Callithrix jacchus: one gene and its partners. The protein of the gene in region 7 interacts with the protein of the main gene of each other region in a biochemical or structural test. Links are inferred from orthologs where the notes say so. Each region holds a gene or a part of one and is shown on either strand. Other genes may lie near its edges.

Evidence for each region.
Region 1: the proteins of SNTA1 (region 7) and GDA interact in a test that uses a peptide from one of them, tested with the Homo sapiens proteins (2 studies listed by BioGRID and IntAct). The link is inferred for Callithrix jacchus from reciprocal best matches to the Homo sapiens genes SNTA1 and GDA.
Region 2: the proteins of SNTA1 (region 7) and SCN4A interact in a test that uses a peptide from one of them, tested with the Homo sapiens proteins (2 studies listed by BioGRID and IntAct). The link is inferred for Callithrix jacchus from reciprocal best matches to the Homo sapiens genes SNTA1 and SCN4A.
Region 3: the proteins of SNTA1 (region 7) and KCNA4 interact in a test that uses a peptide from one of them, tested with the Homo sapiens proteins (2 studies listed by BioGRID and IntAct). The link is inferred for Callithrix jacchus from reciprocal best matches to the Homo sapiens genes SNTA1 and KCNA4.
Region 4: the proteins of SNTA1 (region 7) and FRMPD4 interact in a test that uses a peptide from one of them, tested with the Homo sapiens proteins (2 studies listed by IntAct, with this or other methods). The link is inferred for Callithrix jacchus from reciprocal best matches to the Homo sapiens genes SNTA1 and FRMPD4.
Region 5: the proteins of SNTA1 (region 7) and SLC6A3 interact in a test that uses a peptide from one of them, tested with the Homo sapiens proteins (2 studies listed by BioGRID and IntAct). The link is inferred for Callithrix jacchus from reciprocal best matches to the Homo sapiens genes SNTA1 and SLC6A3.
Region 6: the proteins of SNTA1 (region 7) and ABCC4 form a complex in vitro, tested with the Homo sapiens proteins (2 studies listed by BioGRID and IntAct, with this or other methods). The link is inferred for Callithrix jacchus from reciprocal best matches to the Homo sapiens genes SNTA1 and ABCC4.

What each region holds. Positions count from the first base shown.
Region 1 is NC_133502.1:92,567,515-92,571,557, forward strand, and holds part of GDA (guanine deaminase), read right to left. Parts: intron 3,248-4,043; coding exon 3,117-3,247; intron 1,057-3,116; coding exon 1,029-1,056; intron 122-1,028; coding exon of another isoform or gene 51-121; exon of another isoform or gene 1-50. UniProt on the Homo sapiens protein: Catalyzes the hydrolytic deamination of guanine, producing xanthine and ammonia.
Region 2 is NC_133506.1:89,240,741-89,245,021, forward strand, and holds part of SCN4A (sodium channel protein type 4 subunit alpha), read right to left. Parts: intron 4,213-4,281; 5' UTR 3,825-4,212; coding exon 3,552-3,824; intron 3,465-3,551; coding exon 3,346-3,464; intron 3,220-3,345; coding exon 3,130-3,219; intron 2,860-3,129; coding exon 2,731-2,859; intron 2,279-2,730; coding exon 2,187-2,278; intron 1-2,186. UniProt on the Homo sapiens protein: Pore-forming subunit of Nav1.4, a voltage-gated sodium (Nav) channel that directly mediates the depolarizing phase of action potentials in excitable membranes.
Region 3 is NC_133511.1:95,328,798-95,332,049, forward strand, and holds the end of KCNA4 (potassium voltage-gated channel subfamily A member 4), read right to left. Parts: coding exon 2,282-3,252; 3' UTR 1,126-2,281; downstream 1-1,125. UniProt on the Homo sapiens protein: Voltage-gated potassium channel that mediates transmembrane potassium transport in excitable membranes. Forms tetrameric potassium-selective channels through which potassium ions pass in accordance with their electrochemical gradient.
Region 4 is NC_133524.1:12,935,401-12,939,681, reverse strand, and holds part of FRMPD4 (FERM and PDZ domain-containing protein 4), read right to left. Parts: intron 3,870-4,281; exon of another isoform or gene 3,737-3,869; intron 2,158-3,736; coding exon 1,093-2,157; intron 702-1,092; coding exon 1-701. UniProt on the Homo sapiens protein: Positive regulator of dendritic spine morphogenesis and density. Required for the maintenance of excitatory synaptic transmission. Binds phosphatidylinositol 4,5-bisphosphate.
Region 5 is NC_133503.1:204,680,065-204,684,345, reverse strand, and holds part of SLC6A3 (sodium-dependent dopamine transporter), read right to left. Parts: intron 3,662-4,281; coding exon 3,549-3,661; intron 2,249-3,548; coding exon 2,120-2,248; intron 1,420-2,119; coding exon 1,320-1,419; intron 1-1,319. UniProt on the Homo sapiens protein: Mediates sodium- and chloride-dependent transport of dopamine. Also mediates sodium- and chloride-dependent transport of norepinephrine (also known as noradrenaline). Regulator of light-dependent retinal hyaloid vessel regression, downstream of OPN5 signaling.
Region 6 is NC_133502.1:10,894,238-10,898,518, forward strand, and holds part of ABCC4 (ATP-binding cassette sub-family C member 4), read right to left. Parts: intron 3,886-4,281; coding exon 3,745-3,885; intron 3,019-3,744; coding exon 2,981-3,018; intron 2,582-2,980; coding exon 2,487-2,581; intron 694-2,486; coding exon 547-693; intron 1-546. UniProt on the Homo sapiens protein: ATP-dependent transporter of the ATP-binding cassette (ABC) family that actively extrudes physiological compounds and xenobiotics from cells.
Region 7 is NC_133506.1:5,878,007-5,882,910, reverse strand, and holds the start of SNTA1 (alpha-1-syntrophin), read right to left. Parts: upstream 3,374-4,904; 5' UTR 3,245-3,373; coding exon 2,935-3,244; intron 1-2,934. UniProt on the Homo sapiens protein: Adapter protein that binds to and probably organizes the subcellular localization of a variety of membrane proteins. May link various receptors to the actin cytoskeleton and the extracellular matrix via the dystrophin glycoprotein complex.

The DNA of each region.
Region 1 (4,043 bases), on a different chromosome or scaffold from region 7:
GATGCAGAACCACACTAATCCCAGGAGAACTTCATAGATGCCCGAAGGTCTTACACTGAGCTGGAAAACGGAACCACCTGCTTTCCGCCCACATAAACCTCCTCAATATTTCGATCATCTCCTGAAAGAAAAATCAAGGAATCATGTATAAAGTCCTTTTGAGTCAATAATTATCTTCATTGCCATTGAGAGAGATTTTTTTTAAAGATACTTTTAGGAGAGGAAATACCAAAAGCTGCTTTCCCCCCACGCTCAGGTTTATAATCTGAACAGGAAGACATGATCAGTAGAAAATGTCATGGCTAATTTCATGATTAGGGTCTGAATTCCGCTCCCGAGGCAGAAATCACATAAAGTTGAATCAGCCCCCTTTAGCTGTCCTTTCTCAGCTAACGTGGTTGGTTTATATTTTGCCCCCCGTGGAGAAAGAAATACTTTACACATTTCTTACACTCCAGAAGCAGTTCCACAAGAAGTAACACATGTGTCTGTCCATCTCAAGCTCACTGAGCTCACTCAACAGGATGGGAAGTAGAGTAGAATCTTCTGCATTACTGTTTCTCTCAGTGAATGGAATTGAACGTGAGTACATTACAAGCACATTTATGAACGCTCTCAACCAGAGTTGAGAATTCATGCAACTTCCTTTGAACAAAGGTGAGACTTTGAACACGTGGTGAGACTCTACTATGTATTTGTCACAAAAACATGGTAAGGCAGAATGTCAGATACTGAATGAGTACAAGAGGAATGAACATGAAAATCTCTTCCCCTTTGGCCTTCTATTTCTATTTCTCAGCTTAGAACTTATGACTAGAGAAAGTCATGTGCACTTCAAATAGAACCTTTAAATAATATGCCACAATGGGCTTAATGCTTCAGAGTGTTTAAAAAAATGAATCAAAGCAAATTATCATACATAGAGTTTAATATATGGCATGATAAATACAGAGAGCCATAGCCAAGAAAAAGACAAGACAAGGAAAGATTTTATTTATTATTTAGCATAGAGACATACATTCACCTACCTAAATAGAGGAACTTCTGGATAACAGCCTAAAATGGAAAATAAAAGTAATAAGAAAGAATAGTTTGTGCATTTAGAAAAGTAAATTCACAGCTGACAATGGTTGGCAAAGCCCAGAAATATGAATGTACTTCTCAATGGCAAAATCTACTTCTATTAATTAAAAAAGAAATAACTACGTGCTTTAATAAAAAACCTCCCAGAACAACAAAACAATCCATTGGCAATTAACAGTTTACCTATTGCGTGAAAGTTTTGGGTATGTAACTTTAGAGTCATCATGGAAAAGGTATTATATAAATTAAAGAAATTAATTTAGTAAAATAATTCAAATATTTCAAGAGGTGTATGTTGTAAGACAAGCTTGTCCAATCTGCTTTATTGTGTTGTTGTTCTGTTTGGTTCTGTTTTCGGCTTTTAGCAGCCTGAAGCCATGGTTTATAGTTTCTGTCTCTAGTGATAAGCAGAAAAGAGGGGTGAGGGAGGGGACTTTACCGGCCCAACCAGAAACAGAAACTAAGAACCTGTGACTGTATTCTCTCCCTTGGATACCCCTGATGTAAGAAAAATGACTAAAACTATTCCCTAGAGCCCTATTCCCAGAAATTAATTTTAATAAGAGAGTAAAAGAATAAACAATATAAAAATAATAATGGGATCAGGACTATCCTCAAATCAAAAGCAGGGAGGTCATTCGGACCCTCCCCTCACCCCTCACCCCTCACCCCAATGCAGGTTATAAGACCATCATGTAAAGGGTGTCCTCCTTATAACTGACCTCTGAAGACAAAGGGTCGCAGAGAAGAATCTGAACCAACAGGTCTTGCTAAGTCCCTTCTAGCTTATTACCACTGGATCACACTCTTTGTCCTATCATATTTCTCTACAATGCTCCACTCTTCATCAAACCTAGCATAAAAATACCCAAGTTTACCCATTTCTTTGGGTCTTTGCTTCCTTACGAAGGAAGTCAGTTAATGTGAAGAATTTAGCAGACACATAAAAATCAGTCAGATACTGTTTTCAGATTTCCTAGGATTTTGGTCTCCATAATTTAAGTTCATCACATGACTTCCCTTTCTTGACTTTGGGTTGTCTAGTGATGGCCTATAAAGTTCAAGTTAAGTTCTAGCTGTCACTTATTATCTGTAAGACCTTAGGAAATTAATTTTCTAAGGATTAATTTCCTGATTTCTACAACAATAGTAACTAGCAATTACAACTATGTCTATTAGCTGGGCATGGTGGCACATGCCTGTAGTCCCAGTTACTTGGGAGGTTGAGGCAGGAGAATCACTTGAACCCAAGAGGCGGAGGTTGCAGTGAGCTGAGATTGCGCCACTGCACTCCAGCCTGGCAACGGAGCAAGATTCCGTCTCAAAAAAAAAAAAAAAACAACTTTAATATGATATATTTATTATCACATTTACTCTCATAAGTAGATCAATTTAGAAATGGCAATAGTTAATTCTTTTTTTAGAAAGAGCTCAATATCTTACAAGAAAGTATTTTTTCAAGTAAGATTAACTAGTTTATTCATAGGAAAACATTTTATGATAAAGCAACAAAGTTCATTTTCTTATAAAATTGAAAACATTGACATAACAGAGTGGTCAAGAGCCTCGCCTCTGGTAGTCAGAAAGCTCCAGGTGTGAGTCCAAACTCTGCCTACTAATCACTGGCTATGAGTCTTCACGTAAATCACTTAACCTCCCTTAAGCCACACTGCCTCTATAAATTAACATGACAACATTAATAGTACCTACTCCCTTAGAGTTGCTCTGATGATTGAACAAAATTAGGTATGAAAGTGCCTAATCCCATGCCTAGCCAGCACATAGCAAGTGTTCAATGAGTTCTAGTTACGTTCAAATATACAAACACATTCAAAATAGAAAAGTTTTGTTAATACCATTATTTTTAACATTGCTGTCATAAAATTACAATAATTATCAAAGGGCTCTAGTGTCCCTTTGAAGAGTTTCCTGCATTCCATTAAAATGTTTCAGTTTCTATTTTCTTTTATAGAGGGAAGCTGTTAGGCGACTTTATGAAATAAATGCCTTTTGATTAACTTTCTTTTTCTTACCTCAGAAATATCACCAAAAAAATCCCCATAAAACAGGTCAATGGGAGAGTCAGATGCTTTGGGGTTGATCAGGAGGGCATCAAATTCCTTGCCCACTTCAAAGTTTCCTATCTCTCTATCCAGCCCCAGGGCTACAGAGAACAAGGGAATAAACAGTCAGGATTACAAGCCATCACACCACACTAATGTCTCAGTTTGTAAGGACAGATCCTGCCAACATGTCGCTAGGAGAAAAAAAATTTAGTATCTTAACAGTGAGACAGAAAAGCGCTCTCATTCTAATAGGTCACAAGACTTCTACTTACAAAAAGTAGAGTAACCACAGGAAAGCAAAATCTGGGAATAAAAACAGTTCCCTTCATCACTGTATTGCAATTCTGATTTGTCTCTATTTCAGCTCTATTGGTGCACTTCATAGCCCAGCTGGTTTATGCTTTTCATTTATCCCTCTAAGAAACATGATGATTAACATAATACCTTTCCTCTTTTTCCCTTCTATTCTCCTCACAACACTTCAACTCCTTGCCTTGCCTTTCTTGTTCTTTCTGTTTCATGAAATAGCTGACAAGATTTATTTTCATGGCAGTGAAATGAACCTTGCATAAATAAAAAATAATTATCTTTTTGCATATTTGTCAATGCAGGAATATCCATCAGAAATTCCTTAGTTTAAATCTTTTGAATGGAAAAAAAACACCTTACTTCTCAAAGTGAACAGATTCTCATAACTCAAAAGTCCCAAAGCTTTTGCAAACAGACCAATCTGTTTGCAGCCTTGAAGGTTTTCTGGTTGCCAGAAAAGAATGGTTTTCTAAAATAGAGCACAGGCCAATAACATCTATTGACTTGGCTCATCTCATAGCTACAAATCATGTTCCAAGATGATTGGATACCAAGGAAGAACATCTCTCATTTTTATGATTTCGT
Region 2 (4,281 bases), about 83 Mb from region 7:
AGAAATAAACAAAAACTGTATTTAAACAAAAACTAAAATAAATAAAAACTTATTTATTTATTTAGAGACAGCGTCTCATTCTGTCACCCAGGCTGGAGTACCGTGGTGCAATCTCAGCTCACTGCAACCTCCGCCTCCCAGGTTCAAGTGATTCTCCTGGCTCAGTCTCATGAGTAGCTGGGATTACAGGTGGGTGTCACTACCCCCAACTAATCTTTTTGAATTTTTGTAGGAACGAAGTTTTGTTATGTTGGCCAGCCTAGTCTCAAACTCCTGGTCTCAAGTAATTGGCCTGCCTCGGCCACCCCAAGTTCTGGGATTACAGGCATCACCCACCTTGCCTGGACTATTAAACAAAAACTTTAATTCCACGTTTCCTTAACGTATTTGACCACAGAACCCTTTTCCTTAAAATACCTAGTAACCCCTGAGGAAACAGCAGGGTTCACTCTGAGAAGCGCTAGACTGACCCTGAAACATCATTACATTCTTTGGAGAGACAAAGGCATAAACAATGCTGAAAGAATCCCAGGGGCTGATTCCCATCACCTGTGCAAGAGCCATAACTTCTTCTTGAGCCTAATCATAGTGCCTCTTGCTTTAATATGAATTCATTTCCTTTTCTTATCTTGATATGGAAAACAAATGCTTGGCAGACTCCTTATAAAAGAACTCTTGCGCTCCCAGGACGCCAGCAGCTGACACAGGAAAGGCAACGCCATCTTGGCTCAGTGGCCAACGTGCAGTATGGAATTTGGGAAGCGCTTCCTCTCCCGGGGCCTCACCTTCCTTGGCTGTAGTCAGAGGGCTTTATTTAGACTAGAAGAGAGCTCAGGTACTTCTTTCATTTTTTTTTACTTTGAGGTGGAGTCTCGCTCTGTTGCCCAGGCTGGAGTGCAGTGGTGTGATCTCGGCTCACTGCAACCTCTGCCTCCTGGGTTCAAACGATTCTCCTGCCTCAGCCTCCCAAGTAGCTGGGGTTATGGGCAGGTGCCACCACACTCAGCTAATTTTTGTATTTTTAGCAGAGATGGGTTTTCATCATATTGGCCACGATGGTCTCGAACTTCTGACATCAAGTGATCAGCCTGTCTTGGCCTCCCAAAGTTCTGGGATTACAGATGTGAGCCACCGTGCCTGGCCTCAGGTACTTTCTTGCATTAGGATTTAACAATTTCCCCTCTTTCCAGAGACTGATCTCGATCCTTTTTCTTTCTCTCTACTGGGCCATCTCCAGTTTCTCTACTTGCTCTTTTGTGGGTCTGAATGATCGGATTCTATTAATTCAGTTTCTCGATGCATTACTTTGGAATTGCCCTGGCCTCATGGTCAGCAGGGGCGTGGCGTGTTCCTAACTGAGCTCTCAGGGCTGGGACTTTCCCTCATGGAGTCCTTTTGTGTCTCTCTCTGCTCTGCTTGGTCTGCTTATTTTATTGAGCACACACATGTATATCACAAGCCATGGGTCAAGGGCTATGAGGGCCTTACGGACATTAAGACATTTAATCCTTACAACAAACCAAGGAGTGGTATTATTAGTCTACATATTCTATAGATAAGGAAACTGAGACACAGACGGGATGAGGCATTTGCCCAAAGGCAAAGTTAGGAAGTGGTAGAGGTGAGAATTGAACCCAGGCAGTCAAGGCTCCAGACTCTGTGCTTTTTTTTTTTTTTTCTTTTGAGACAGGATCTCATTCTTTTTCCCAGGCTGGAGTGCAGTGTCATGATCTAGGCTCACTGCAACCTCTGTCTCCTGGGTTCAAGTGATTCTCCTGCCTCAGCCTCCTGAGTAGCTGGGACTACAGGCACCTGCCTCCACACTAGGCTAACTTTTGTATTTTTAGCAGAGACGGCATTTTGCCATGTTGGCCAGGCTGGTTTCAAACTTACTTGATCCACCTGCCTTGGCCTCCCAAAGTGCTGGGATTACAGGCGTGAGCCACCATACCCAGCTGAGTCTGTGCTCTTAACCACCTTGCTATGCTGCCTCTCAAATGCCATTCTTCCACATAGAACCCCTTCTGCCCCCTGGTCACGTGGGCCCCTCTTTGTCCAGGCTTTGCTGTGAGTTCTCAGCCGGGGAGGGTTGTGACCCTGAGTCAGGTTCCCGGCAGGTGCATTGTGTGGCCGGGGGTGGTGGCATCTCTCAGCTCAGGCAGAGGGTCCCTGCACCTCCCCAGTACCTGGGATGACTGTGATGGTTTTGAGGGCCCGCAGCACCCGGAAGGTCCTCAGGGCTGAGATGTTGCCCAAGTCCACAAACTCTGTCAGGTACCTGGGAGGGGGGTGGAGTGAGGTGGGGACTGTCAGAGCCTGGGGTGGGTCGTAGGGCAGAAATCAGGGCCTCTCCAGGCCTGGAATGAGGATTCTCTAGAAGTTGGGGGTTCCACAGGGTCTGGGGGCAGGTAAGACACCCTCAAAGCTCCTCTGGGAGCCCAGGAGTTGGGAAGAACAGTGCATGAGCTCTGCTGTGGGGGAGTGGGGATGGCAAAGACAGCCCGGCTCTCCTAGCGGGTGAGGGCCTGCAGGTCAGGGCTGATTCATGGGATGACCAGGAGGCCTTCAGGAGAGCTCTGAGCCAGACCCTGAGAATGGCAGCTTCTAGAATTGTGCAGCTCCCTGTCTGCACAACTGACAAATGTCCCCTGCAGCCCTCAGCACAGGCAGCTGCCCTCTTTGAGGCCTGGCCCCTCCCCTCACCCATCCCAGGCTCGGGCCCCTGCTCACGCCATCATGATGACGCTGAAGTCCAGCCAATTCCAGGGGTCCCGGAGGAATGTGAAGTCATCGACACAGAAGCCCCGGGCCAGTATCTTGATGAGGGACTCAAAGGTATAGATCCCTGTGAAGGTGTACCTGGGGGGAAGAGGGCCGGCCAGGGCAGGCATGTCACACAGGCAGGGATGACTGTGGCAACGACAGACCCCCAGAAATAAAATATGCCACCCAAGCAGCTAAGGACACTATCGAGTGATAGTGTGGCCACCCCGGGGGTTCAAGGTGTGGAAAAGGGTCACGGTGACAGTGTGTCTCCCTGAAAGACAAGAGCAGTGTCACGCAGAGGTGCAGACACCTGAGATGGTCTGTGTCCCAGGGCTGGGGAGCTCAGGGATGGGGGAGACTCACTCCACATTCTTGGACCAGGGAGGCGGGTTACTCATGGTCATGAACACACAGTTGGTCAAGATGGTGATCATGATGAACATGCTGAACAGCGTGGGGCAGGGTCAAGGAGAGTGACGAAGCAGCTAGGAGGGGAGGTGATGGCGGGTCTCCTGGCCCAGAGCACCCCATCTCGCCCATCCCTAAGCCCTCCCGCCTCTCCCTTCTCTGGCAGGATATGCGTGGATGAGCACCTTGATGGCCCCTCGCCTGACCATGCTGAAGGGGCTCAGCATGTAGAGAGCGGGTGTGGCGGAGAAGCGGAAGATGGCCTTGCCCTTGTTGAGAACGATGAAGGTCTAAGGTGGGGAGAGAGGCTGTGAGGCCTGGGGACAGACAGACAGATGGACAGCAGACAGACAGAGGGAGGCTTCCCAGGCCCGAACCTTCTTGTCGCAGTAGTAGGGATCCAGGTCCTCCAGGGGGATGCCGATGGCCTCTGGCGGGGGGTCTCCATAGATCATGGGCAGGTTCTTGCCAGCCTCCAAGTCACTTCGAGGCTTCCGTTCGGGCTCCTCAATCTCCATCTGCTTGTTCCGCTGCAGCCGGGCCTCCTCCTCCACCACCCGCTGTTCTATGGCTGCCAGGGACTCCCGGGTAAAGGGGCGCAGGCACTCAGGGCCCAGAGGCACCACGGTGGCAAGAGACGGTCTGGCCATCCTCGCATCCTGGGCTCAGAGACCAGGATGGGTAGCCGGGACAGCTGCAGTGGGCAGCCCCGGGGTGCTGGGCAGTTGCCCCTCCCTGGGCCGGCCGGCCGTTCCTCACCTCCTGCCTGCCCAGCAGCCGAGCTGGGGAGGTGGGCGTGCAGGCTCTGTTGGGACTGGGAGATGTGCCTGCAAGGCCCAGGTGCTACTGCTGCACAGGTGCTGGGCACAGAGCATCACCCCTGGCCCCACACCACGCTCTCCCTAGCAGTGGCGGGGGCCACCCCCAGGACTGACGGCAAACCAACCAGATTCTCTGTGGCCTTGGGATGTGGGGCCAATGCCCCAGTGCCTTCGACTGCCTTCTGGGCCCGAGCTCCTGGAACTGTGTGACTTTAGCCTAAGAGGACAGAGAGAGAACCACAGCTGGCTGTGCTCAGGTGACTTCTGAATGGGCCAGGATGAGGGG
Region 3 (3,252 bases), on a different chromosome or scaffold from region 7:
TTGTGTCTACATATCTACTTCTTGTAAGGACTCCAAAGTTTAAGCAATTGCCCATAATTTTTACAATATCCTAACGAAGTAGACGTATGCTTATGGGTTCTAAATCCCCTTTTCTCCCAGAGGAAGATTAAACCATTTGGACATAGGATCAGGCATTTTGTACAGAACTGAACATTTCAGAGTTTTTCTATGTTCTCATTTGTTTTGCCTAACTCTGTCATGTAACATGCTTCATTTGCCCTCTTTTTTACCATTCAGGAAATTTTGGTCCAGAGATGTTAAGTAACTTTTTCAAATTAATTATAACCAGTCCAAATAACCTTACCCCCAGCCGAAGGCTTATTACATTTTTTGCCCCAAATCTAAAACGCATTAAAACGTTATCTTTGAAGTCTTATTGTAAGATGGTATTTTGTTGTTTTATCATTCTCTATTGTCTTCTATTGATCTTTGGTCTTCACACTCAATCAAAGGTCCTGCTTGCTTTTTCATTATCTAAAAGGTTTCTAGAAAAGAGTTTCTCTACAAATGATGGGGAAGGGGTGGAGAGGGGGCGCAGCTTTACTTTGAACCCTAACGTTGAATTTACTTTGAATTTCAAATACCATTAAAAGAGAGGTAGGATTTATGTAATTATGAAATGATGGCCTGGATTTTAGAAAGCTTGAGAAAGGCCATTCTAGGTCATTTTGTTTGTTTGCTTGTTTTTAGCTCACAGTTACCAGAGTTCGCTATGTGCTGAAAAGTGTATGCAGTGTTGTTTGTTTTGTCCCCTGCCCAGAATTCAAGACAACTATTTTACAAAGATTAAAACTTAAAGAAGCATTGTGGAATAAGGCCTTGTATGCATCCCCAGTTTTCTAAACTATACCTCATTATGATTTAATAGTGCAAGGCTGATCGCTAGTTGCTATCTCACATTCTAGAACAATTTGTGGTGAGTTAAATGCAATTATATGTGTCATAATTTCCTTTAATAAAGTTGATAATGATGGTGATGTTGAAACCAAATGTTGGACACAATTCTTCCTTATATTCATTTTAGCAAATAAAATGTTAAAATCTGAGGTTAATCCTCAAATTCTGTTCTTATATAACTGCACAAAAAAATAAACTTAATAAATCTAGCATTTATATTGCACATTTAATAGAAAAATTTTAGGCCATAATCACTGTAGCTGCTGGGCATCTTATTTCTTCAAGAATTCTTTCAGTGCATGCATTAACTTTGGTTAAATTTTTCTGGAGTTGAAAGGCAGAAGAACATATAAGATATATGATTTCAGAAGCATCATTGTAACAGACCAATTTCAAAAGATTCAGTTGCTAAATTTTACTTCATAGTTCCTTTGTAGATCAGTTATTTAGATTTTAAAAGAGGAGAGAATCATGTGATGTTATCTGCCTGGTCATTAGTCTCACACAATGAAAACAATAAAATAAGACTAGAGAAATCATTCTTCCAATGATTGTCATTGAACTGTTACATTAGCAAACATTCACAGTATGAAGTCTCTCTCAATCTCCAGCATATAAAGAAGTGCAAAAAAAAAAAAAATTCCAGTCCTGTTACCTGCAAACAAAACTTATTACATATTCTCCAATGTCATTTATTCTATAATGTTAGACATTTGCTGTCAAATCTTCCCAAAATTAATAACAAAATATAATCAATTTCTAGAGGCCCTTGCAGCCTTTTTAAAAGTTAATTTCCAGTTAAAAATAAACTTTAATTAAATCCAAGATAAAATTGTGACCTATATTCTATTAAATAATTTACTTTCTTTTTTCTCTACGCAGCAATTCTTACAATTTTTAAAAAACAACTACAGAATCCAAAGACATATGAGATGCTATTAAAGCACTGATAAATGACTGTTCAAATTCATTAGTTCTTACATAGTAAATACTTCAAAATGCCAACTTTTCCCATCACTGCACAATTACTAACATTAACAATTTACTTCACACACTCACACTCACACACACACTCTCTCTCCATTTTCACTAACATCTTTTCTAGTTAATGTGCAAAACTCTTGCATTCTAATAAAAATATAAAGATAGATTTGCTCCTATTTAAGCCTCCCTCTTCTCCAGGATATATCATTTATTTGATATGTAATACAAGTTTAGGTACAATTATGCCATGTATAACCATTAAATGGTGTACTACTGTATGCATTGGATCATTTGCATATTTCATTTTCATAACTGCACTCTCTATGCATAAATATATTTGGAGATGCTTGGGGGGGCAGTGGCAGGTGGAGAAAGCAATTCACACATCAGTCTCCACAGCCTTTGCATTAGAACAGTTGTTTTTATCTGTCTCACTGTCATCCCCCTTTCCCTGACACTTCTCCTCCTTTGCACACAGAGATTCCTTAACTCCTTCTTCCATCTCTAGATACTCTGACTTGTCCCCCAGGGAAGAAGAAGTAGAGCTCCGAAATTTCTTGAGCAAATTAGAGGGGAGGTATGGGCAGCTGACTGCATTCTGCGTCAGCTGTGTCTGTTCCTCATTTTCAGTTTCTCTGTGGTAGAAATAGTTAAAGTTAGAGACAATCACTGGCACTGGCAAAGCAATGGTTAAGACACCCGCAATGGCACACAGGGACCCCACAATCTTGCCCCCCACAGTGATGGGCTTCATGTCCCCATAGCCCACAGTTGTCATGGTCACCACAGCCCACCAAAATGCATCTGGGATGCTTTGGAAATGGGTATTAGGTTCATCCGCCTCTGCAAAATACACAGCGCTGGAAAAGAGGATGACCCCAATGAAGAGGAAAAAGATCAGAAGGCCCAGTTCCCGCATGCTGGCTCTGAGGGTGTGGCCCAGGATCTGCAGGCCTTTGGAGTGCCTGGAGAGTTTGAAGATCCGGAATACTCGGACCAGACGAATGATTCTGAGGATGGCAAAGGACATGGCCTGCTGCTGCTGACCATTGCCACCCCCCTGTTGCTGGGCCAGGTCGGTGCCCAGTGTGATGAAGTAAGGCAAAATGGAGACAATGTCAATGATGTTCATGATGTTTTTGAAGAACAGTGCTTGGCTTGGACAAGCAAAGCAGCGAACCACAAACTCAAAGGAAAACCACACAATACAGACCGTCTCCACGATGAAGAAGGGGTCATTGAATATCGTGTGCCCTGAGTTCTCCAGGTGGGGTGCTGAGGTGTCATTCAACAACCCACCATGCCCTCCAGCACTCAGTGCCATGACGAGATCCCTGTCGTCCCTAAACT
Region 4 (4,281 bases), on a different chromosome or scaffold from region 7:
GGCCTCCCTTGCCCCAAGACCAGAAGCTCTTGGAAAGGTTTTCCCCGATGCTGCTTCGAGTCCGCTTTTTTCAGCCATCCCACCTTCAGCGGCCACATACCATCTTTGGCTGTCCTTGCGAAAGGCAGTTCTCTCCAGATTAAAAGTGCTCAGGTGTTGACTGTCCCGTGAAGAGACAGTACCAAATTTACCACTGGCATCCTCCTCCATCTCTGCTGTTTTGGTCCCCTGTTTTTTTCCTGTTGTGTTCGCATTAGAGGGTGCCTTCCCCTCACCATCGGCCAGCTTGCTTTTCCTTTTGCTAGTGCAGGAGTATGCCACCGACCCCATGTGCAGTTTGCTGAAATAGTCAGTGACTGACTTAGTCTCCATGGTTTCAGGCTCCATCTCCATGTGGTCTGAGTGAAGTAACTGCTTGGAAGGCACGACTTTGGGCGGGAGGTCGGTTGCTGGCCTAGCAGCCAGGGCATGTGAGGACTTTGGAGGTAAGCCCCCAGCGGGGGTTTTGGAGGCCGGAAACTCGGTCTGTTCTTCTGCAAGGGGGTGGTAGCCTTCATGAGTGGCCAAGAACATGCGGGAGAGGTTTTCTGACTGTTTTTGTGCTGTGGCCAGTTCAGAACTCTCAGTCATTTCAGAAGAGTTAGTTTCATTGCCCGAGTCTGACGAAGACTCAGGACTATAAGCCCGCAAGATGGCTACACCTGCATGCCGTAAAAAACAAGAACTGATTAATGGATGCATCAGAGGCACTTGGAGACATGTAAGAAAATGGGACTCGTTATTATTAAAAGAAAATACCAAGTTTTTCCCTTTTCAGTAAGGACTCTGAGTTTATTGCACAGTTGTTCCAGAAATGGGGGAGAGATGTGCCTTATGTTTTTTTAAAAAAAAAAAAAAAAAGCAAAGAAAATCACATACACACACACACACACACACACACACACAAAACCCATGATGGTAGTTTCAGCACATTTATGAAATGGGACATGTGTGAAATGGAGAACACCACGTAACAGGACTCCAAGGGCAAATGGCTTGGAAGGATGGAAGGATATGGTTATCAGTGAATGAATGTAACAATTGTGAAAGAACCTGAATTGTCACTGGTCTGCTGTTCTTCTGACACGGATAGAGCCTCTAGAGCTCCCAGCGTGGAGACGACGGCATTATCCAGTCCCTTCTCACACTTGCCTTCGGTGCTGGTGGGCACAGCGTCAATGAGAGACACGGGGATCTCATCATTTTGCAGGCTGCTGCCTTTCTCCTTATCCTCGGGGAAGGAAGCTGCCTGGGTCTGAGAGTCCTCTTCATCTGAACTGTCTCTAAAGCCAGGTGGGGGTGCGGCAATGGCCATGTTCAAAGAACGCAACAGGAAGTCATCCTCATTGTCATCACCTTCTGGAGGTGGTAGGGATGTGAGGTCAATGATGTCATCACTTGACCCAGACAGGTTGAGGATAGCCGGCTGGTTCATCTCCCCCACCACGAGGTCCTCCTCACAGCTCACCTCATCCTCGTCCTCTGCATCATCGGTGTTTTCTGCATAACAGATGTCATGCAAGAGGGGCTCCTCAATCCCCTCCGTGGCCTGGAAGCTCTTCACATCGCCTATGTTTGCATACACAGAATTTTCCACAAACTGGATGCCCTCTGCATCTGGAGTGAGATCCAGGCCTTTCATGTCATTGGCACTGCTGATGTAGAGATTTCTCTGCTTCTCCAGCATTTCAGGACTCTCATCTAGTAGTGTTTCATAGCCGAGAGTTGGGGGACTAATACCATCATCCAAGGCGAAGTCTCCAAAAATAAAGGACACTTTAGCTCCTCTCGGAGATTCCTGTGCTTTCTTCAGAGTTTCTGGTCCTGAGAGGGTCAGTAGGGACCGCTGAGCTAGACTTCTGTAGTCTGCCTCACAGGGGGCCTCCCCGGGCTGGCTCAGCTGCTGGTTAAGTCCATCTGAACTATAGGCATTGTCTATGTACAAGTGCCGGTGCTCTTTTGGACACATGGTGCTGTCTGTGATCTCCACCGCCTTCTGCTTTGAATCTATGTATGTTATCTGGGCTTCTTGTTCCCCTTCGCCAATAAAGGTTGTCATTTGGGGTATACAGTTCCAATCTGGACCAAGGAGGTTATGCTTCCCCTTGTTTTCAGTTCCTAAAGAGAAAGAATCATGCAAAGACACATTACTGTGCTGTCTGGTTCTGGGTGGAGGACGGGGCTCGTCTCTGTTTTTTAATTTCATGGCTTGTAGCATCACTTGTGTAAATACAGGTTTACAGCTACCCAAATATAGTACTTGTCAATTTGGGTGTAAGCATTCCTTGGGTTAGGAGAACCAACGTTAACAAAATCCATACTGCATATTGATACTGCACAAACTAGAATTGCTATTTGATCAAATGTAATGTCATCTGGGGGTAGGGAAGTATAGCTTAATTCCATCTGACCCTTGTTTCTATTCTTAAAAGGCTTCATTTATATCTACGAATGTGAATATACAACGTGCTTTTTACAACCCTTAAAGGGGAGATTTCAGTAGGCTGTTATTCCAGAAAATAGATTTTCCTTTTCTTTGTAAAGTGAGATCCAATATTTCCTAGTTTGTGGAGGAAGATAATGAATGTTTTCCTCATTGAGTTCAGAGATGGTCAAAGATTGTCACCGTTTTACCATATATTTTAAGGAAAGTAACATACATATTGTAATGATCGTATAAAACTTCTATCTTCAATTTTTTGATATCCTAGTGGATGTTAAAATAGTCTTGTATAAATGTCAGTATGCATGCCTGTGTGTGTATGCATATAAGATGCATAAGGTGGAGTGGTTACAGGTAATGTACTTTTCTCTGTAATTTCTAGGCATAATTAATATTTAGATTAATTTCCATTTTTATTTATATCATGGGAACTCTTGAAGATTTGATGTTCCTCATGAATTAAAATGACAAAAACCCCAGTTGAAATACTGTTATTGTGTTTGCTCTTCAAGGGTGTTTCAATCTGGAATTTTGATGCGGGGATTTGCTCTGATATTTAACAAGACAGAGAACTAGGTCATTCTGTTGATACTGCCTTGTAGATTCCAGAGGCAACATTCTGAGAAAATTTTAGGGCCATACTATTCTTCCATCTGTTCCTTCAAATAGCACAAGTTTGTGTAACTGACATCAGATGTGCAAGACATATGGGGGAAAAGTACAGTTTTACCAAAGAGGTTTCTGCTCCCCACAAATCATGCAATGGACTTAATGCTGAACAATTCTCAGGGTCATTTTAATAAAATGTATTTTCATGAACAGTAAGAGAGAAAATTTTGAAGACATTGAATTATACACTGGCCATATTTGCATCTTACCTTACAATAAATAAACCTTGTTGGGGGTTCAGCATTATTTTATTAAAAACAACAATTTAGATTATGACTGGATGTGCCTGTGGGGCGAAGTGTGTACGTGAGTGTGGATTGTCGTGGGAGGAACAGTAGTTCAGCAAAGTTGCATTGTAAGGCAGCTTTGGACCAGGGCTTGGCAAACATTTTCTGCAAAGGGAGGCCCAGATGGTACATATTTTGGTTTTGTGGTCTAACCATTCAATTGAGCAACTACTCAACTTGGCTGTTTTAACATGAAAGTAGCCATAGATGCTACCAATTGGTGTATGGGTTGAAAGGTGGCCCCCAAAAGATATGTTCACTCTGTGAATGTGACCTTATTTGGAAAAATGTCTTGCAGAGTTAAGGATCTTGAGATTATTCTTAATTGTCTGCCTGGGCCCTAAATTCAACGGCAGAGAGAGATTTGGGCCACAGAGAAGAGGAGGTGACCATGTGAAGACAGGCAGAGACTGGAGTCACGCAGCTACAAGGAATGCTGGTGGCCACCAGAAGTGCGAGGAGGTAAGGAGAAACCCTCCACTAAAGCCTTTGAAGGGAGCATGACCCTGTTAACATCCTGGTTTTGAACTCGTGGCTTCCAAAAGTGTGGGAGAATAAGTTTACGTTGTGTAAAGCTCCCAAGTTTGTGAGAATTTGTTCCAGCAGCCTTAGGAAAGTAAAACAATGTGCAGAGTTGAGTTCCAATAAAACTTTATTTGCAAGTACATGATTTGGCCCATTGACCATAGTTTGCCAACTCTGGTTTAGATGAACAAGAAAACTGAATAGGTCAGCAGGCTCAAAGCAAGCTGATGGATACTTACTGAGACCCTCCTAAAGCCCAGAGATGCATGCCTATGTGAGGCCATGGATTTTGAAAGTGGTTAAAGGCTAATTTTCAGG
Region 5 (4,281 bases), on a different chromosome or scaffold from region 7:
GAGATGGACTTGGGAGGGAGTGGGGACGCAGACAGGTGAGGCCAGCAGCAAAAGGGGGCATCCCCAAGGCCACTCAGCCTCCCACCAGCAGGTCCCAGGGCCCTGCCGGAGAAGGTGGCATCAGCTCCAAGACCTGCAGGACCTCGGTGCAGTGGAAGCCTGGTGTATTCCAGCATATCTTATTAGAGCATAGATTTTGTTTCATTTAGATGAGGAGGTGCTGGATTCCTCTTTGGAAATATAACACAGAGCTTGGTCTTCTGAGGTGCGGGACGCCAGGGACAGCTTTTCCCCGCCTCCCATGGTTTCAGAGACCATGGTGCTGGAGTGAATTCGAGGCACTTTCTCCTTCCTCTGTGAAGCTCTATGTTTTGTTCAGGGGAGATTACAATTAAAGTGATAGATAAAGTATTGGTTCCAAGTACCCGTGAAAGCACGAGTTTGACATTTCCCTTTTCTGTAGAACAACAACACTGAAAACAATATTCTCAGGATAGGAGCTATTTGTCCTATTTGTCTCCAAGCCAGTGTGTTTATCTGGCTATAAAGTCCACAGCTCTGAGGCAGAGACAATGACCCCTCGTATGCAGGTGAGCTAGGTGTCCTTCAAAACCGGGGCTCACACAGCATCAGAGACATTCAGCTTTGGCTGGAGAGATGCACCTGTTAGGCCTTGTCTGCTCCCCTGAAGCCACCCGGCCAGGTGAGCAGAGCTGGCATCACAGCCCCATTTTACAGAAGACAGAATTCAGGGCAATGGAGGTGGCTTGCCAGGTCAGCATGCGGGGAAAGGGTAGCCCAGCTGCCAGGCTGGGTTCGTTGCTGTTTAAACCACCAGTGGACATTCCAGGACACAGCTGGGGTGGCACAGTGGGCAGGAGCTGCGCCCTGTTGGAGGGCTGCCTACTGACCCTTAGGCCTGACCGCTCTGGAGCTCTGGTCAGCAGAGAAGGCCATAACAGCACCTTTGAAATGCTCTGTGTCACATCCCTGCTGAAGCCCCCAGCATGGATCTGATTGTGTTCCCCTATGTGGGGTGGGCTCGCTTATGCCTCTTGCATGGAGGAAGCTGAAGCCACCTGGCCACTGTGAACACCTCTGACCACAGTGTGTGTCTTCTGGCTGCCATCCAAGCTAAGCACCTCACTGATCCCATCAAAGGGACCAGTGCCAAGCCTCTCCCCTCTGTGAAGCTGTGATGAACCCAACCCAGGCTACCTGCAGCTGAAAGGTGTTTCTTCATGGTGGCTTTGTCAGATAGGGAGTGGCACAGCCACCAAACAAGAGGGCGCCAGCCTGGCTGCCTCTCCTGGACTCACCATAGAACCAGGCCACCCCAATGGCTTCGATGAGCACTCCAAAGAGGATGGACGTGCCGGCTGCAAAATGGTCCAGGAGCGTGAAGACATAGATGCCGCCCTGGAAGAGAAGGATCCTGTGGACCTGCGGGAAGGCTGCTCCCAAAGGTAAGCCCGGCCTGGGGACACACTGCACACACAAGCTCTGTTTCACTCACTGCAAACTCTGGTTTCAGTCCCTAAAATTCAATCCACATGCAGCTTCTTAGGGCCACCTCTATTACAAAAAATAAAATAAAATAAAAATGATCTCTCCTTTCCTTTCCTAGGGCTTCACGTGCAACTAGAAATGGAAGCAACCGAATGTGGAAGTTGGCAGTGCCTCCCGTGGAGAGGAGGTGGCCTGGGGTCTCCTACCATATAGATAGATTCTGTCAGCCCCAGTGTCCCCCAATCCCCAAGCCCTAGAGGGAGGCAGCTTCAGCCTTGAACGCGTCTGGGGGGAGCTGTCCAGATGCTGAAATGACTATGGGACTCACTCTCCAGAGAGCTGTCCAGGTGCTGAAGTGACCATGGGACGCACACTCCGGGGAGCTGTCCAGGTGCTGAAGTGACTGGGATCAAGCTCCGGATGTGCAGTTAACCCTGGGCACTCGCGTGTGTGCATTCGTGTGCGTATGAGTCATTTTCTGGGTGGGTGGGGACACAGCTTCCTGGAAGCACTGCGGTTCTGTCTGACCTGACAGTCCCAGCCAGGCCGCCCTGTGCCACATGTTAAGGAGACATAACCAGGAGAAGGTGAAGCCGGCAATGGTACGTACGTTGGTGACGCAGAACAGGGAGAGGAGGAAGGTTGCCAGTACAATGAAGAGCGTGAAGAGCTCACGGTGTCTGTGCAGCAGCTGGAACTCATCGATGAGCCCGGTGATCACCGACTCCATGCCGCCCATCTGCACACAGAGCACAGGGTCAGGCTGCAGGCTGGGGCACTGCTCACTGCAGCCTGGGCTGAGATCTACTCAGTGGACGCACACCCGGGGATGCACATGGAAAAGGGGATGCATGGCTGTCCAGGGTGCAGGACGCCTGGTAGCGAGGATGGCTGTTGGCGAGGGTTTCTCTGGTGGCACGACCGCAGGAGAGAGAACCCAGACAGACTGCGCTATGCACGGTAGGGGTGAGCTCAGAGGGACCACGCTATCCACAGAAGGGAGGACCCAGAGGGGCCACTCTATCCATGGTAGGGGGGACCCAGCCAGGACCACTCTATTCACAGTAGGGGGGACCCAAAGGGACCACTCTATCCACAGTAGGGAGGACCCAGAGGGGCCACTCTATCCACGGTAGGGGGGAACCCAGCAGGACCACTCTATTCATGATAGGAAGACCCAGAGGGAACATGCTATCTACAGTAGGGGAAACCCAGAGGGACCACACTATCCATGGTAGGGGATTTGTAGCCTCGTCAACGTCTCTGGATGGGTAAGATGTGGCATAGCTAAAACACCACCACCCTGTCCACTACTACTGCACAGGCTTGGCTTGGCAAAATTTTCCCTAGCAAGATGACCCCCACACGCAAAGCTTTTGGGTGCACCTGGCCCAGTCACTGGCTACACCTCCCCAGTGGAGCCTCCTGACTCCCAGCATTCTCCCATGGGATGCCATCCAGGCACCTGACTCCTGCTTAGTGACCTTCTTTGCCTTGCTTAGTCCAGACCCCCCTTCATGCTCCTACATCAGGAACACGAGGCCTGTGGTCAACTCAGGGGCTGTGGCCCAGCTGGGTAGGAGATGAGTGGGGGCTGGATGCACAACCAGTATTTATGTGGAAAGGGATTCTGGGTTCCAAGCAGCTGACAGGGAAGAAGGAGCTGACAGGGAAGTCCAGCTGGTCCAGGGCTGATCAAGGGCTGGACCCGCCACCCCCAGCAGCTGGATGTGTGCATGTGTGTGCTTGTGCATGCATGTGTGTGCATGCACATGTCCAGGATCTGTAGGTGGCTTAGGGCAGGTCACACAGGTACCCCAGAGTAGAGTGATAAAGGAAAAGTTAAACTCCAGTCACCATTTACCCCAGCCCCAAGAAAGGTCTCCCAAATAATCGTGGGGCTTACTTGAGTTGAGCACGGGAGGTCTGGGGGCCGTCTGTGAGCCCAGGGGTCTTGCCTGACCCTTGGAGGGCAGGGCCCCCTTGGGTGGAAGGAGCCAAAGTGCCAAGGATGGGGCTCAGTGGCACAGGTTACTCACGGCACTGTCGATGCCCAGGGTGAGCAGCATGATGAAGAAGACCACGGCCCAGGCTGAGGACAGCGGGAGTGTGGCAATGGCCTCCGGGTAGATGATGAAGATCAACCCCGGCCCTGAAACCAGAACCCACCCTGCTTTCCACGGAGCTCTTGCAGTGCTTTCCCCACCCCATCCTGAGAGGCCAACACAGCCCACCACAGGCCTGTATGGACTAGGGCTGGTGCGGCCCTGCTGAAAAGCCTCCCTCCTGTGCATCCAGCAGATCCTGGCCTGGGACTCAGGAAAACGGAAACCCAGAACCAATCCGAGGGCTTCAGTTCATGCCCACTACCCAGCAACGGGGCTGCTCCGGATCACCTGCATCCTTGAGGGCTATGGGGGCGCTGGGAGAAGGAAGGGGCAGCAACAAGGAGAGGGCAGGAGGGGTTTCCAAGGTGGTCCTGCCCTTCGTCCCAAGTGACACCTGCCAATGTCCTTCTAGTTGGTTTTTCCTGCACATATGTGATATACACACACAGGCACATGCACACACATGTATGAACACACATGTGTGCACTCATATGTGCACACACACACACACACACAAATAGACCCAGCACAAGAGCACAAAAACACACAAATCACACACATCCACATTATTTAGTAGCCTAATTTCTAAATTTAGCAATACATTAGGGATACGTTCCTGACCTCCACCTCCCAGGCACACAAGGAGGTTAAGGTCCTCCCACGA
Region 6 (4,281 bases), on a different chromosome or scaffold from region 7:
TTTTACCAATCTTGGCTTTTAATTAACCATGTATTATCTTACAGGGAAACCTCACAGTCAGGGTATGTACAAAAGCCCTCTGGTTCCAGAAATGAACACGTTTCCCAATGAAAGAAAGAAATGCACAGCCTGTCTCACGTCAGAGCCTCCCTGCTTACAAAGATCCTTCCGAAAAATGGCATAACCTAACACTATGTAAACACGGCCAATGTTTTAGCAACTATTCAGCTACATTTAAACATATTTACAGGGAATGCAGGATGCTTTGCTTGCCTCACAGCAAATGGATTCCTAAAGCATTCTGCAAAGTGAACATTTATTTTTCCACACACATATAAATTGGAATAAAAGATTGTATGCCCCCCCATATTCAGATTTTCTCTGGCAGTAGAATAATATCAGTGAAGCATCTTGTAGAAAATTAATCAACATGCATAGTGATTTTCTTCCAAGCATCCCTTCCATTTTCAAAGACGGAAATGTAATCAGATCCTAAATGTGTTGTTAACAAGACATATTTACTGAGAAACTTGGTGTCAGACTTACCTATTGGATTTCTGTCAAAGAATAATACTGGAGCTTTCAGAATTGACTCAAACATTTTGTTGTGCAAAGTTTGTGAAGAATTAACAAGGACGTAGAATACCAACAGAGATCTTGCTATGCCAAAAAGAACGGTAGCTACAGTTAAACCTGAAATAAAGAAATATCACTTAGAGAACACAGCATATCTCTGCATTTTCTTCAATAGTGCTAAAGCAAGTCAGATAGTTCATAAAAACGTTACTTATTTTATTCCATAAAGTATCTGGATTCTATAACAGTATAACATATTTATAAAATGCACTGATGAAGAAGAATTAAAATAGTTTATTTTTCTCTCACCGAATAGAAACTGCCCAGAAAAGAAAAACCAGATGTATAATACAGTTTCATTCTAGGCTTTCCTAATTCAACAGTAAGTTCTATTAACAACTCAGAAGTAAGATAGATAATCATGAAATATAGTTGATCTTCTCCATATTCCAAATCTTATTATTTACATTATGTCCCGTAATCTAAAAAAGGTGGTATGTTTTGATACCAACAGGTGATATTAACAAGGAATAGGAGAAATGATTTACCTTTTCCTTGTAGAAAATGCCCAAGTAGCTTTAAAGAATTTAAAAATACCATATTAAGTTGCATGTGGAAAACCTCTTGAATAATTGAATTGCAAGAAAACACAAATCATATTTTAATATAAGATAATTAATCTAAATAAGCAACTAATCCCCCACTACATGTTTTACATAGACACAAGACATTTTTAAATGAATAAAATAAATTATACGTTTTTATTGAGACATGAATGAGTATCCATTATTCACACAGAAATTAAAAGAGCTTTCCTATCATCTCTTAACTCCCAATGCTCAGTACAGTGGGGGTTACTTCTATAACAAATATTTCCCTTTCCGATGACATGTCACTGTTATTTAACCTCTGAAAGCAGCTCAAATTCCTAACTCCATCAGTGGGCATTATCTGTAGCCTCCCATCCTACACAAACATATAATAGAACCGATTTCCTTCTTCCTTGAGTTTTCACACAGTCTGCCAATTAGGAAGGTAAACACCTAATGGATTTAGATTTATTAGCAAGCGATCGATGAAATCAATACTAAATTTCACTGAGTAGGTTCTTACAAAGACAACTCATTCTATCTCTGAGGAAAGCTTATATGAGCATTTCCTGTGGAAATACTTAAAATTTTAGATGAGGATTTCCTTGAAACACTACGTAATGCCACATACATTCTAAGCACCCTTGTGAAAACAGAGTACGGCGTTAATATTAGTCTGGCAAGCCAAATGTTAAATTAATCACACAGTTGGGGACGCGATAACATTGTGATCTCAAGGTAAGAAATAGAAGGCGTCCTAATTCCCAGACACTGGATTTTTCCCTGCTCAGCTTCCCTCTTAAGTAATTAGTGAAGCCCAAGAGATGAGCAGTGCTGAAGGGAGCTTTGCATACCTGGAAGGGAATAATGCTTTTATTTTGGGGGCCTTGCTGCCAGAGGATTTCATCCAAGTTCAATAAAAGCCAGGGTTTATTTAGACAGAATTGGAACAATCCGAACCACAGGGTGGGGATCCGTTTCTAATCCCCCTGCCCATCCGTATAATGATATAAGATTTAGCTAAAGCAACCTATTAGAATAGACAATAGCCACATATTTCCAGTGGCTGATTTTCTGAATGCTCAATCCTGGTTTAACTTTCAAAATCCAGTACAGAGCAAATTAAGAGTCTTCATTCAACCTCTTTCTTCTAGTCGATTTTTAGAATAATTATTCTAATTAATTCACAGAGTAAATGCGACTGAGACTCCTAATCTGTTAAGACATTACTGAATTACTCCTGGAAGCCCTAGCTACTCACACAGGCTCATTGTAAGCACCTCAACCTCTCATATAATAGACCAAATGATTCAACTTTACCTGAATAAATTCCTAAGTACCAGTTAAGATCCAGCCTCTGGGTTACATTTCCTCCTCCATTTACAGTGCCATTTAGAGCACTTTGTTTGTTTGCCCTATGGAACACGGGGAGAAAAAAATATTCAGCTATTGATGGAATCTAGATAAACACATTTTTTAAAAAAATGAACCTCAATTTGAGAGAAATGCTTCATGTTGGAAAATGATTCTCAGCTCACATAGTCCTGTGTGTATCTACCTTATAAAAATTCAATTTAAATCACGACTTTCAGTTCCCGAAACTGTCTGTGAACATGATGCTGAGGATCAGACATGGGTGGAGACCACCACAGGTTACACTCCACCAGCAAGCACTCTAATTTTTCTTTGGGTAAACTAAGTGAGGATTAGAAGAGAAGGATGAACAAACGCCACCCTCTCCCCCTACTCTATGGAAAACTGAGTCTTCTTAGTGATTCTCAAGTATTTCATACATGAGACCAGACATAACTTACCAGTACGAAAGCCACCAATCTTGAAGAACATAGGCCACCTAGGAGGAGAGAAACCACGATGACAAAATTAAACTTTGGCATGATTACCGGCTCAAAACTCTTCATCACTAACATGGGACAATGCAAAGAAAGGCTCACAGCCGGCTGCGGTGGCTCAGGCCTGTAATCCCAGCACTTTGGGAGGCTGAGGTGGGCAGATCAACTTAAGGCCAGGAGTTCTAGGCCAGCCTTGCCAACAGAGCGAAACCTCATCTCTACTAAAAATACAAAAATTAGACTAACCTGGCATGGTGGCACATGCCTGTAATCCTAGCTACTCAAAAGGCTAAGGCAGGAGAATTGCTTGAACCTGGGAGATGGAGGTTGCAGTGAGCCAAGACTGCACCACTGCACTCCAGCGTGGGCAATAGAGCAAAACTCTATCTCAAAAAAAAAAAAAGAAGAAGAAAAGAAAGGCCACAGAGGAGAACCTGCATAGTTCTTCCAGCTCAGGCCTGTGCCAAGCCCAAACTCCCAGATATTAAGAGCTCAGGAAAATGCATATTCCATTTAAAAATCATTGAAAGATACCCTATTTTCCCCAGAAGGTCTTTGTAGTGGACATAAAACACCAATAGGCAGCTCTCACTTTGTTCCCCAAAGACAGCACATTTCAATGCAGACCCCAAGGGAACGGCAAGATGCAGTCACAAGAGCATAAATAAATTTATATTAATATACTGTAAATATCATTTTGAGGGCACAAAACAAATGTCATTATTTACCTGAGCTGCGGCATTTAGGAGAACGAGGAAAATGATGACAATCCAGTGAGCACCAGCTCTGAAGTAATTCTTATAGGCCTTAAAACCAACTTTTCCTTCAGAACGGTTCTCCTCTGAGAGTGTAGCTGGGACATTCTCTGTCTGCAAAGGAAAAAAGGTGGTAAGAGACTAAACAGTATAGAAAATTGTATCCAAAGATGACAATGCATTCTGTTGACAAAGCTGTGGGGAAACAGACAGAAGTCCAAAATGATCCATCTCCTGTGGAGAAGAGTGTGGAAATATCTAGCCAAACTGTCCATGCATTTATTGACAGATTGACTGAGATGAAGTTTTGTTCGTGTCACCCAGGCTGGAGTGTAGTGGTGTAATCTTGGCTCACTGCAACCTCCACCTCCTGAGTTCGAGTGATTCTCCTGCCTTAGCCTCCTGAGTTGCTGGTATTACAGGTGCCTGTCACCACCCTGGGTAATTTTTGTATTTTTTTAGTAGAGACGGGGTTTCACCATGTTGGCCAGGCTGGTCTGGAACTCCTGA
Region 7 (4,904 bases):
AGGTGTGATGGCACACTCCTGTTATCCCAGCTACTCAGGAGGCTGAGACATGAGAACCTCTTGAACCCAGGCAGTGGAGGTTGCAGTGAGCCGAGATCATGCCACTGTACTCCAGCCTAGGCAACAGAGCAAAACTCTGTCTCATAAAAAAAAAAAAAAGCAGCAATGTGGGAATCCACTGATACCCCTCAAACTGGAATCAAGATAGCAGTCAGCTATTCCTATGGCCTCAAAAGACTGCTTTAGCAATCATAATGTTTTACAACCCAAGGTCCAGGCTGGAAACCAAAGCCTTAAAGTCTAGAGATTCTAAAAGCCTGTCTGAATTACATATCGGATACAAAAGAAGCTAATACATTTTACTAAACCGCTTTATTACTTAACTGTGAAAGCCCTTTAAAAATAAGAAATAGTAATAACAGTTCACCTTCACCTTAGTTGCACGTATCAAATGCCAAGCACTGTGCTGAATGCGTTCAATGTTGTTTCATTGCGTCTTTACAATACCCCATCTCATAGGCATGCTCAGTTTCCTATTAGGAAAACTGAAGTGTGGAGGGAAGCCCCTTGTCCAAGGTCACTCAGCTGGTAAGTAGCGAAGCCCGTATTTGCACCTAGGCCTCCAGGCTCCAGAACCAACACTATTCACCCTACGATAGATGGCACGTCAGGCCCTCAAATATCACACTCCTGGCTCATTCCCAGAATACTGAAGATGAGGAATTAGTGGCCCAGAATGGGAGGTCATTGTTCCAAGGTGACACAAGCTGGTGGCAGAGCTGGGATTGGAACACCTCTCTTGACCCCCACACAGGCCCAACACTTTGCTTATCTGCACAGAGCTTGAAGTCTAGGAGAGAAAGGGGTTTCTATTTATATCTGTCCTCCCCCATCTGAAACTAGGGGTTTCAGTTCGGTTGGAAGCTATGATCACTCATGGCTGCCTCAGACTAAGCTAGACTCTAGAGGATGGGTTACCATGACAACAGGAGCCCAGTCTCCATCCACAAGGATTTGGATCCTATGATAGTACCTGAAGTCTCCCTCCACCTAGAAGTATGCAGCTGGGGGGGAACTTTGTGTGACTTAGAAAGTCTGCTCCTCTCTGAGTCTCAGTGTGTCCATCTGTAGAATGGAACTCTATATGAATAAGTTCAGGCCAGGCGCAGTGGCTCACGCCTGTAATCCCAGCACTTTGGGAGGCAGAGGCAGGCGGATCATCAGGTCAGGAATTCGAGACCAGCCTGGCCAATATAGTGAAACCTCCCTCTCTACTAAAAAAAAAAAAAAAATTAGCCAGGCATGTTGGTGGGCACCTGTAATCCCAGCTACTTGGTAGGCTGAGGTAGGAGAATTGCTTGAACCTGGGAGGCAGAGGTTGCAGTGAGCCAAGATTATGGCATTGCACTCCAGCCCAGGTAACAGTGTGAGTCTCCATCTCAAAAATATTAATAATAAATAAACAACCTGCTGTGACACACTGAGTATATAATTTTTGGATTGGTCTGTTGTCCCATCCCATGCTGGAGACTGGGGGTAAGACTGGTGCCCATATGCTCGTTTTCCCATTTCCCCTTTTTAGGTCCTCTTGGCTGCCTGGGGATCTGCCATTCTGCAGGAAAGAATCAACTTCCCTGAGCACTCTCTAGGGGACAGTAGCTGATAATTAAGGTTCAAATCCCAGGGCTGACACCCACTGTGTAATCGTGGAAAATCATTTTACTTTTCTGAGTCTCAGTTTCTTCACCTGTGATGTGGGGATTATATTCCCTATCTTTCACCACTTGTTGCCAGGATAAAATGGATCATGAAACTAGTGTCCTGGGCACCACACATGGCACGCAGTGGTGGCATTCACTACCATCCTCACTGCCTCAGCCAAGCCAAAGGGTCTGGAGGCACTAGTGAACAGAATCAGTACTGGGGAGACCTGGGTGGGGACAGTTCATATTCAAGGTGCAGAAAAAGGCTGACACCCTTTCCCAAAGCACCCTGCTGGAGGCTGGAACCCTGAGAAACAGATAGGCAGGAATAGTGAGCCCAGCAGCTGGGGTTGTGCAAGGATTTTAAGCACTATGTTTAGTAGCTTTGGGAGTATCTCCTGGACTCCAATATTCCTCTCCGCTAACAGCAGTAATTAACTAGGCACCTACAATGTGCTGGTGTGGTGAGCCCTGCTCTCAGAAGTCACAACTCTATCATCCTCTTATACAGTTGAGGAAACTAAGATTCAGAGATGGGATGGGATTTGCGCAGGCTCACACAGCTGGTCCTGGACTCAAACGCAGTCTGTTTGCACTCTACCTGCACCCTACTAGTGGTCAGTCTTGGGGGCTGAAAGCTCTCTCTATCCTGTGCAAGGTGACTCAGACCAGGAGACTCAAATCCAGCTGTCGGGGCTCCCCATAGCCTTCCTGGGTCCTTCGATTCCTAAGGCCTTGCTGGCCTTCTCTCTGTGACCCCAGCCTGTGCCTGCACCCAGGCCTCCTATCCACCCCTGTGCTTCCCAGACTCCAGGCCTCCGCCCTGCGCCCAACTTGGTTGCTTCTCAGGGACTCCCTGCTCCCTGCTCCACCGGTGTCCCAGCCTCAACTCCCTTTCTCCACTCTCTGCTTTTTGGGGGACCCCTCTTGTCCTTGATGTTCATGCTGGTTGCCACTCAGACCCCCACGCCTCCACACACAACTCCCCACCCACGTGTCCTTGGTGCTCCCACAATATCCTCCACACCAGTAGCTACCGTGCCCCCTAAGGTCACCAACTACAGAAACCCCCTCCGACCTTGGTGCGCCCAGTGCCCTCTGTTACCTGTTTCCTCAGAATCCCCTTACCCCCAGACAGAAGGCCTCCATGTCCTGGGCGCGCTGCCAGCCCCCTGTGCCCTCAGCGGTCCCCAGACACCGCGACCCCGTACCCTTGGTGTCCCGCGCCCACCTTTGATGCTGATGCCCAGCCCACCGGCATCGGCCTTGCGCACCGTCACGCGGCGCCGCTGGAGCAGTAGCGCCTCAGGCAGCTGCGGGGGCCCGGCGCCTGGCTCCGCGGCGCCGTTCAGCTGCGCGGGCTCCGGCTCCCGCGGAGCGCCGGGATCGGGGCCAGGGTCGCCGTCGGCGGAGCTCACGGTCAGCACGTCCTCCGCCAGACTCAGCAGCACTCGCTGCCACCGCTCGCCGCCGGCCCCCGAGCCCGCCCCGGCGCGCAGCTCCAGCAGCCCGGTACGCGGGGCGCGCCTGCCGGACGCCATCTTCGCCTCCGAGACCCCGGACCTCCGTGCTCGCCCTGTCCCGCCGTGCCCTGCCCGTTCCTACCAAGCACCCGGGGCAGAGGGCAGCGGGGGCCCGGCTGGGCCAGCCGCCACCCTACCCTGGCCGCTGGGGGAGGAGCTCTGGGGGCGGGGCTACCAGGGGTGTGGCCAGCGCTTAGGGCGGGGCCTCGGGCAGGAGCAGGAGGCCGGGGCGGGGCACGGGAGCCGAGGGCCTCCGAGTGGAACTACCTAGGTTGCGGCTTAGAAGGAGCGGGGCGGGGCCACGAAGTAAGGCGAGACGCCTGGGAGGCGTGGTGCTGGGCGGGGAGTCAGGGGGCGGGGCTTCTCTTCGGGGGAGTAACCCAGTGATCCAGCTCAGGGGTCTCTGTGCTAGGAATGTCCGTCGAGGGCCGAGACTGTAGCTCGCGGACGTGGGAGCGCATGAAAAAGAGACAGAACCACGTATCCTGGTGCGAAGCATTGGGCGTCGTGCTGCGTATGGCGGAGCTCTGGACTCCAGGGCTTGAGTTTAATAGGTAGACATCGGCCGGGCGCGATGGCTCACGCCTGTAATCCCAACAGTTTGGGAAGCCTAGATGACAGCCCAGAAGCTTGAGACTGCAGTGAACCGCGATCATGCCACTGCACTCCAGCCTGGGTGACAGAGCGAAACCCTGTGTCAAAAACAAACAACAAAAAAGGTAGATACTGAGCCGCGAGAGACTACAGGCAGAGTTTTAGTTGGAGAGCGGAGGAAGAAGCTGGTTTCGCATCGGGGTAACCGAGGCTTTGGTCTGTGGGCGTGGCTTATAGTGGGCGTGGCTTCAGATGTAACGGGCCCCGCCCCCGGAGGAGAGAGCTGCCGGCTCCGCTTAGGGCTTAGGCAGGATCCCCACTTCAAAACTGGAGGGAAATTTAAGAGATTAATCCCTGGCTCTGTTAACAGTCGAGGATAGAAAAACCTGAAGTCCCACACTTTGAGGCCTGGCAGAAAAATCTCGAACTCCTAGTGTGTGGGAAGAGGACTGCAAGGTGGGGCTCTGGGTCTGGGCGTCTGGAGACCTGGTTTCTAATCCTTGCTCTGTTAGCTCCAAGTCGACCTTGGTCCCTTCACATCACTGCTCTAGGCCCCAATTTCCTCATCCATAAAATGTGGCTCATAATAATATCTACTTCACAGGGCTGGTGTGAGGATTAAATCAATGTGAAGACACGTGGTAAACTGTGAATCCCTATGCTATAGAAATAATCACTTTCGGCGGGAAAAGTGGCTCAACCCTGTAATCCCAGAACTTTGGGAGGCCGAGGCAGGCAGATCACCTGAGGTCGGGTGTAGGGTCCAGCCCTACTAGGGTCCTGGAGTGTCCCCTATCACTGTGCTGAAGCACTGGATCCAAGAAATAAGGAGACAGGACACCAAAGGACTGGATAAAGACAGCTGGGCTCCGGGGGCCAACGCCACTTACAAGTGGAGACAGGCGATGCCCTGAGCGTCCAGGCACATCTGTATTCGTTAGGTATAGGTTAGGGGGAAGGGTAGTGAGTGAGGTCATCTTAAGGATAGTGATAGGGTCAAGACAATCACGTGTGCAATAAGCAAAGAGTCCACCCCCATTAGGTAGCCGAGACAGGAGGTGGTCAATGTGCAGCAAGGGGTCCA